2 linked regions of the Arabidopsis thaliana genome follow. The protein of the gene in region 2 purifies or fractionates together with the protein of the main gene of each other region. This does not show direct contact. Each region holds a gene or a part of one and is shown on either strand. Other genes may lie near its edges.

Region 1 (4,617 bases), on a different chromosome or scaffold from region 2:
CTACAAGTAGAAGTGAGAATCTAGCTGTGATTCACCTCTGTATGTTTTGTTGCCTTGAGATTAACTTAAAAACCCTTTCTCTTATTTCGATCAACAGGGGTGTGCTTGCAGCAATTGATGTCATCTCAGACAGTTTATTAGCTGGGGTATGAGCTATACACCTATTTTACATTTCATGACGACGCCTATAATATATTCAATGTGTCTAACCCTAATGAATGATGGCAGATCTTCTACTTTATCGGATTCGGTCTCTTCTGCTTGGAGTCACTGCTGAGTCTATGGGTTCTTCAGGTAAGCCTCTGATCATACTTTTCATGGCTTCTTCAAAACTGTTGACGTTGATGAAACCAGTAAACATTTGATTGATCTGGTTTCCCATTTTGGCTTTGCAGAAAATTTACCTCTACTTTAGGGGAAACAAGTGAAAAGGAGATAAAGAGGAAGATGATGGTAATTTTCCCTTACGATATAAGGTCTGAAATATGTGTATCTCCTATGAATGTAATTACCATTTTACCGTTTGATGCGTTGTGTTGATTGAGGTAAATTCTTTAGTTACTATAGTAGCAAGAGAGAGTGGTTGTTCGGCCATTTCTTTATGTTTTTTACTCTGTTCTTCTCTGGTCTGTAATATACCAATATCGTCTCTTAGCTTTTGGGATTTTTTTTCGGCGAAGTGGATGGACTATTTAGACAAAAAAAAATCATAGCTATGAATTATTAGTAGCGACTCTCTTCGGTCTGAATCTTAGAATCTGGTCCTTCTGATTATCATTGCGTATAACAAAGTATAGATGTTTCGATATGGCCGTGAACTTTATGAATTTTTTTTTTTGCAAACACCATGACTCGAGAGAGATAAAACTTCGTTAAATTCTTCTGTTGAGCAAAATAAGAACTTTTTTTCATTTGCAAACTCCATGAGTCAAAACTCAAAAGAGATTAAAGTAATTTTTTTGGAAAGATTTAATGTGAGTCCATAGTTTTTACTTTTTAACCTAACAAATTCTCTGACCCGTTATAGTTTCATGCTTGACATGGAAGTTGTATGGTGGTTGGTGGAGACTACGTTCAATGTGTCCAAGAATAAGCAACTAGTGCCGACTCTATCGCGGTCGATAAATAAACCATGGTTTTGTTTTTTTAATCCCGATGTAATCTCTTTTACTAATTACCCTACGGTGAAATTCATGAGTAATAAACTTCTGGTATCTGTTCACAAAAAAAAAAAAAAAAAAAAAACTCTTGGTGTCTTTATTAATTGGTAGGCTTGAAGCCCATTGTTAAGGTAACGCAAGAAGGCTTTGATCCCTATAGAAAAAAATAAAAGCATAAAAAGGTAAGTTGTTCAAAGACCATAAAGATTCGAAGCCAAGGGGGGATATACGGTGACGTGTAAATGTGACCCACATAATACTCTCTCCTTCATCTTCAGACCTTAAACACCTAATCCCCATCTGTCCAATTAGAATCTCCCACGTGTCAATTCAAATATCCAAATCCCAAAAAAATAAGCAAATAACCACCAAGCAACGTCTCCCTCCATGCCCTGTTAGTTTTATCACTTCATCGGCAACTCCACTCCTCTCCCAAACTCTATTCTCCAAATTATCTTTTAGCCAAAAAAATCAAACAAAATTACCATAAGTTTATTACTTCATGAAGTAAATAAGATATGATCTTTGGTTTTTTAATGGCTATAAATGTTTTCTTATCCTCTTATCTTATCAACAACATCTTAACATAGAGACTAATCAACATTACAAACAATTTTACTTCAAGAAACCAAAACATGAGCCAATCATCACACAACCACATTAAACCAAAACAAAACAAAATAAAACTCCTTTTCTTCTCTGCAAATTGCCATCTGTTTTTCCTATAGACCCATTGTCCTCCTCTCATTTCTCTCTTTCCCCATTTAATCTTATTTTCAAAAAAAAAAAAAATCACATCTCTATATCACCACACAAAAAACCATAAAATCAAAAATCGTTACCCACATTTCTTTCATTCTATCCTAAATCCTCATCACTCAACCTGAGCTCACAAAGCTAAACAAAAAAAAAAGAGCTTAGGCGGAGAAGAAGAGGAGACCAAAACACCAAACAAACAACAATGGCTGTCTCAACTATCTACTCAACACAAGCTCTCAATTCAACTCATTTCTTAACCTCTTCTTCCTCCTCCAAACAAGTCTTCCTCTACCGTCGTCAACCACAAACCAACCGTAGATTCAACACACTCATCACTTGCGCACAAGAAACCATCGTGATCGGACTAGCTGCTGACTCTGGCTGCGGCAAAAGTACCTTTATGCGGAGGCTCACCAGCGTCTTTGGTGGCGCTGCTAAGCCACCAAAAGGCGGGAACCCTGATTCCAACACACTCATCAGCGACACGACCACTGTGATCTGTCTTGATGATTACCATTCTTTGGATAGGTACGGTAGGAAAGAGCAGAAAGTCACCGCTTTGGACCCACGCGCCAATGACTTTGATCTCATGTATGAGCAAGTCAAAGCTCTTAAGAATGGTATAGCCGTCGAGAAACCGATTTATAACCATGTCACTGGACTTCTTGACCCTCCGGAGCTTATTCAGCCTCCTAAGATTCTTGTCATCGAAGGTCTTCACCCAATGTAAGCTACACATACTCTGTTATGATACTCTGTTTTGTATCTTAGACATACTCAAATTTTAGAGTTTGGAAGTCTCTTATCTTGTCGGAATTTCGATGATTAAGAATCTGGACTTAGATTTATACTAGAATCAGTATCAGAATAATTAAAGATGGATCTTTGAATCTATGCATGTAGTGTGTGACACCGATTAATTTTTATTCGAATAATTAAGTCTATAGTTTTGGTACTTGTAATGTTTTATAATAATATTTATCTACTTGTGAAGGTTTGATGAGCGAGTAAGAGACTTACTAGACTTCAGTATCTACTTGGACATTAGCAACGAAGTCAAATTCGCTTGGAAAATTCAGGTGAATTTCTTTGAATAATTCAACTACATTTACACCATTTTGTGGAACGTTTTCGGTTTATCTTATAAAACTGAATCTGTAACGTTTTTGATGGTCACAGAGGGACATGGCTGAAAGAGGTCACAGTTTGGAGAGCATCAAAGCGAGTATCGAAGCCCGAAAGCCCGACTTCGATGCATTCATCGGTAACACTCCTAATTTCTTGATGTAACCCCGTGTCATATTCGGCTTGATCAGTTTATAATATTTTCAATGGCTTATACAGACCCGCAAAAGCAGTACGCGGATGCGGTCATAGAAGTGCTTCCTACGACTCTGATCCCAGATGACAACGAAGGGAAAGTGTTGAGAGTGAGATTGATAATGAAGGAAGGTGTTAAGTACTTCAGCCCGGTTTACCTGTTCGATGAAGGTTCAACCATCTCGTGGATTCCTTGCGGCCGCAAACTCACTTGCTCGTACCCTGGCATCAAGTTCAACTACGAACCTGACTCCTACTTCGACCATGAGGTACATTCATATTGCATAATGACATATTGTGAGAAATGAATGAAAATGCATGTGTATGAGAATTTAGACTCATTGCATATATCTCCCTTTTTGTTTCTCTCAGGTATCAGTTTTGGAGATGGATGGACAATTTGATAGACTGGACGAGCTGATTTACGTGGAAAGTCACTTGAGCAACCTCTCGACCAAATTCTACGGAGAAGTCACTCAACAAATGCTCAAACATGCTGATTTCCCGGGTAGCAACAACGGTACTGGTCTTTTCCAAACCATTGTTGGATTGAAGATCAGAGATCTCTATGAGCAGCTCATTGCCAACAAAGCCACTGCTCGTGCAGAAGCTAAAGCCTAAAACAAACGAAGCGAAGCCAAATAGAACGCGTCGATAAATACATCCGCAGTTTCTTCTTTTTCTTATTTCTTTCTTTCTTTATGCGTTGTTTACCGCGGATTTTCATGGCGAAAAGGACGGTCTTGCTTGTTTGTAATTTGTGTGGAGATAAAAAGAAAAAGCCTGTAATGTAGAGAAGTGAATAGCAGAGCAATAACAGTTCAGTTTATAGAACGCCTTCAAAATTTGTTCTTTACAGCATCAAAGTAGATTCAAACCACAAATCAACTAAGCAAAAGAAAGAACAGTTTTATCCTATTGATCATACTCATGTTGAATACTTGAATGTCAAATAGCTTTTGGATTACAAATTACACAGTTCAAACTTCCTTATAGATTCCATATAAGAAAGCAAAGAAATTATACATACAAGTAACAATCCCATTTTCTTGCAATCACCAAGTACTACTTTGGGTACCAAAACATGCCTTTGATGCCTTCTGGATCAGCCTCAAACCCCAAGTTCTGATAGAAATCCACAACTACAAAAAAGGAACACAGATTCAACAACTAAGTAAGAACAAATCCAAATATTTTGACCACAAAAATTGCAGATTAAACAGTGATTCGATGTTTTACCTTGACTATCTGCAAACAGAGATATGTTACCAATATCTCTTTGAAGAAGAGCCCTTACAAGTTTTTCAACAAGAGCTTTACCTAGCCCTTGACCCTGAAACGTGAAAACAAACACAAACACCAATTAACATCAAACACA
Region 2 (4,714 bases):
GATTTCATCGATTACGACATTCTCCACAAGAAAACCCTAGGAATGCTTTCGTTACCGTTATCTCCGATCGAGAGCTTAGCTGCTTCAGTTGTTTCGACGGCACAGAGTGTTTTTGCGTCGGCTATCGTCGTTCTCACCAAAGGCGGTTACACGGCGGAGCTTGTGGCTAAATACAGGCCGAGCGTTCCGATTTTGTCGGTGATTGTGCCTGAGATTGCTCAAGGGAATGATATAGAGATGTCGTGCTCGGACTCGGTGGCTCATGTGGCGAGACGTGGTTTGATTTACCGTGGGATTATTCCGGTGGTGGCGACGGGATCATCGGCTAGGGATTCAAACAAAGATGCAACGGAGGAGATGATTAATTTGGCTATCGGATTCGCGAAGACGAAGGGAATTTGCAAGAATGGAGATTCGATTGTGGCGTTGCACAAGATTGATGGTTCCTCTGTTGTGAAGATAGTGAGCGTTGAGTAATCAAGTTTTATTTCGGTTTAAGTTTTTTCGGTTCAATAATAATAAGTCATGGAACTTTAATTTCGGCTTAAACATTGTTTTTGATCATATGATAATAAAGTTTCAGACAGATTTCATTATTTGTTTTTAGTTGTTAAAATTTTGATTAACACCAAACCAAACTAATAATTTTTAAAAAAAACTTGTATCACAAGTTTTGTTGCTTCTCTTATAAACCAAGGGAAAAGTAGATTATCCGGTTTATGGAAAAATAAACATGCATTCACTTATTTTGAATGAGTTTCTAAGCGGTAACTCCAATGGGAACATTCTTGAGTCTTGATGTTCCATAAAGGGTTTCTTCGAAGCGGATGATCTCGTTCTTTGAGCCATAAGCAACTTGAGTTCTATCGTCGAGGTTGATGATGGTCTTGTCAAGCACGGACTTGTGTCCATCACTGCTGAATCCACCAGCATTCTCTATGAGCAGGCCAAGAGGAGCCACTTCAAACAACAGCCTCAACTTTGCCTTAGCCGTAGGAGAAGTCACATTTGTGAAGATTCCTTTCTCCTTCACAATAATCTGCCAAAAACCCAAGTTACTACTAAAGTCAAGTTTCCAGTCACAAGTAGAAAAAATCCTGTTATAGTGTTGAAGAAGAACAAACCTGGTTAACATCAGGAACCATTCCTCCGGTGTATCGCAGTGTGTATTTCTCTTTCACGTAGTAATCAATCAGCTGATTTCACAAGAAAAGCATTCAGAGTGAGGATTAGATTTGAGCAAAGATTAAAGTTAGATCGATCCAAAGCAAGAACCTTGCTGTATTCGGAGTTGTCGAATGTGGCTCTTAAGTTTCCTGGTGAGAACATTTTCCCTTCTGCGATCTCTGTTGTCTCCTTTACATGCTGCCATTTCCCTGAGGCAAAATTTTGAGCTTAGTTTAAAAGCTTACCAAAGAAGGAATCTTGATAAAACAGGACTAGACCAAAACCTTCATCAAGAAGCAAGAACTCATGAGTTCCTGGAAAGCCCTTAACAGCCAAAACATAAGTGGTTCGTGGACCGTAGATTCCCATGGCTGCAGCCACTTGATCTCCTCCAGTGATTCCGGTTAACTTGTCTCCAGGCCAAACACCGAATATGGTTCCCACAGTGAAATTTGTATCCACAATGCTTGATCCATCCAATGGATCAAACGCAACACTAAACCCACCTGTCCAAATAAATTTCATATTCTTTCGATAACTATTTTTCGCGCGATTTAAAGAAGCGGAAATGTTAGTTAAGTTTATGTAAAACCAACCTTCCACTGGACCTCCCATGTCTTGAAGCTCAGGTACTTCTTCAGAGCAAGCATACTTGCACACATGCGAGTATTGCAAAGCCTATAAAACCAATACACAAATCAAAACCTAATGAACCATTTTTCTGATACAAAGCTTATGACATAAGTTAATTCAAAATGTAACAAAAAACCTCAAAGAGAAGCTTATCAGCAAGCATATCAACAGCGAGTTGTTCATCACCAAAGGAATTAACACAAGCTGTTCCACCGCAAGAAGCTGTTCTAACTTTAAAAGCTATTGTTCTCAATGCTTCTCCCATACACATCAGCAAAGTTCTCAATCCCTTGTCAGGAGTTGCTTGTGCCAAAAACTCTTCCTATACATTCAAAAGTAAGAAACTTTAACTGAAAGATGGAATCTTCATAATACAGAATTTGAATAAAGATTGAGTCTTTGTGTTACTCAACCAAGCTTTGGCCAATTTCACATTTGGTCACAGTTGAAGCACCATTGCTCTTAGCTTTTGTGGCTTTAAGTTGCGATTTTGGTGCTAATCGTAGTGAATCTCCGAAGATTGAGCTCGATTTTAGACGCTGCTTTTATCAAATTATTACAATTAGTAATCACTAGTACTGAACAAATCCTACACTGAAGATAAGCATAAGTGCAAAGGATAACGAACCTTGAAGCTGGAGGATGTGGAGTAGGAAGGAGGAGAGACCAATGTAGAGGATCGTTGAGAAGAGACACTTGGGGGAAGGATCCCACGTGAGTAGCACGCGATGCTGGTCTCCATTGTTAGAAGCTCGAGGTTTTTTGATCGAAGAAGAAGAGCTTTGAGTAGAGAGAATGGTGAAGACAAAATAATCAAGAACACAAGTGGACTTGGAAGAGATAAAGGCTGTTCACGGTCAGAGTGACACGTGGCAGTAACTGAAGAAGATATGATTAAGCTCTGGTGATGGGCAATTGGGCGAGAGAGAGACCGAGGCAAAGAGATGTGTTGAGAGGCTTTGATTTGCGTTCATTCATTTTTTGTGTGGTTATGAGATTCTATTATCTTCAATTTCAGTTTACATCACCAATGACATACAAACCAAATTATATTTGTGTGGCTATGCAAGTAGAAGTTAACATTACATTTGGTTGTTTATTTTTGTATAAAATATATCTGCCAAAAAAAAAAGATTATATCAAAGACAGGTTTCGATCCTGTGACCTGTGGGTTATGGGCCCATCACGCTTCCGCTGCACCACTTTGATTTTTTGATTTAAATAATAATTTTAAATTTATAAAGATTATTAAATATACATTTTTGGAATGTCATAAGATTCCTCATTAATATCTAAGGAATGACAGGGAATATTATAAGATTTTGTTACATATTTTTCATTTTAGTTTTTGTTAACTTAGAAAAAAAAATCATTTGTTCAGTTTTTGGTTATTGTAAATTGATTTTCATTAGTTTGATTAATGGCTAATAGCTCTCAATAGCCTCTCATACGGCTATAACTTTACCAACATTTATCATAAACCTTTCCACAATGGATTTGAACCAAGAGATCTTTAAATTCAAAACTTTGAGAAAGATCTAGAATCCCTACTAAACACAAAAAAGCTATTTGGTTTACCATAAATAATTTTAGTTTATTACATAATTTTACATATTAAATAAGCATTGACAAATATAACAATAAAATCCACAAACGTCCGTGCAAGACACAGAATAAACCCTAATACACAATACAAAAGGATATGAAAGAAAAAGTGAAACCAATATTACAGCAAATCAAACAGTAACACTGAAAACATAATCAAAATCTATATACAATATTCAGTTATATTACACTAAAAGCCAATAACTTATAAAAACCATGAACAAGAAACTTTGTAGAACATCGCTTCTACATCCGTTACCAAAATCCTCACCACCTCCTCCACCATGACCTCCACCGCCACCACGGCCTCCTCCTCCGCCACCGCGAAGCTCCCGACGCCAAACTGGAAAATTGATCTCAGAAGACGTTTCATGTTTCAGATTGGCTAGTGAGACAGAGGTTACAGTGGTTGAACCAACGACTTGAATATGTGCATGGATCGCTAGTAGTAATAGTAACATCAGAGCGATTGGGGTAATTGATTTGTGTATAACCATTTTTTTTTTCCGTTTATCTTCAAAAAGAACAAGATGTGTTTGTGTTATTCACCTATAGACATCTCTATTTATACGAATTTCATCCCGCCAACGTCTCAATCTTTTACTTTTATTATTACTATTATATTATGATAACTTTCAAGAACTATTCTAGTTTACCTCTGAGAAAAAGAAATGGAAAATGGTCCGGACCGAAGCAAGATGTTGAAGTCAAACTTATCCTTGCATATCCAATCGTTTTATTGAAATGGCAAATTAGAAATAGAAACCACAAATCAAATATACGTCAATCTTCACATATCAGATGTGGATTTTGAAACTTTCTTCATTATGTTTTGAATGAAACTTTCTTCATTGAGTTTCATACGAAATTGTTTTTTTTTTTTCGTATAAATTCAATTTTGTTTGTGTATGTCAAAGGTTGAATACTTGAATCTTTTGTTTTTCCCAAACATTTTAAATTAATACTAATGTTGTTTGGTAAGACGCACAAGTTTCGTGCCTTGACTATTCAATCTAGGTTTTATAATGTTGATCAACTCTTGTAGTAGTGTTGGCTAACGTAACCCAGGAAAAATGTAAAATGCATTCACATTTAACGTATTAGTTGATTTATGGAATTTGGTTTCTATTTGAACTATGTTTAAGGAAGTTCACATTACATACCAGATTTTGTAAGGTTCGTCGAAGATCTTATGGAACTGGTAGTACATACTTATTAATAGAGCAACTAAGGATATTGATTCTCTGACCATTGACGTTGACTTATTATATCTAGTATGGTATAACTAATAGCAGTATAGCGCTATAGT

Evidence for each region. Proteins that work in one complex are often made in the same cells at the same time.
Region 1: the proteins of SBPASE (region 2) and PRK fractionate together in Arabidopsis thaliana (co-fractionation; one large-scale study listed by BioGRID). This does not show direct contact.

The regions. Positions count from the first base shown.
Region 1 is NC_003070.9:11,530,547-11,535,163, forward strand, and holds PRK (phosphoribulokinase), read left to right. Parts: upstream 1-1,652; 5' UTR 1,653-2,121; coding exon 2,122-2,645; intron 2,646-2,913; coding exon 2,914-2,998; intron 2,999-3,098; coding exon 3,099-3,183; intron 3,184-3,263; coding exon 3,264-3,508; intron 3,509-3,611; coding exon 3,612-3,860; 3' UTR 3,861-4,093; downstream 4,094-4,617. Other genes in the region: SCAMP5 (SCAMP family protein), read left to right, coding at 98-146, 229-294, 396-428; NSI (nuclear shuttle interacting), read right to left, coding at 4,305-4,381, 4,479-4,572.
Region 2 is NC_003074.8:20,707,468-20,712,181, reverse strand, and holds SBPASE (sedoheptulose-bisphosphatase), read right to left. Parts: upstream 2,889-4,714; 5' UTR 2,543-2,888; coding exon 2,429-2,542; intron 2,340-2,428; coding exon 2,214-2,339; intron 2,123-2,213; coding exon 1,937-2,122; intron 1,846-1,936; coding exon 1,764-1,845; intron 1,674-1,763; coding exon 1,452-1,673; intron 1,377-1,451; coding exon 1,276-1,376; intron 1,197-1,275; coding exon 1,125-1,196; intron 1,040-1,124; coding exon 761-1,039; 3' UTR 542-760; downstream 1-541. Other genes in the region: AT3G55810 (Pyruvate kinase family protein), read left to right, coding at 1-477; AT3G55790 (uncharacterized protein), read right to left, coding at 3,591-3,902.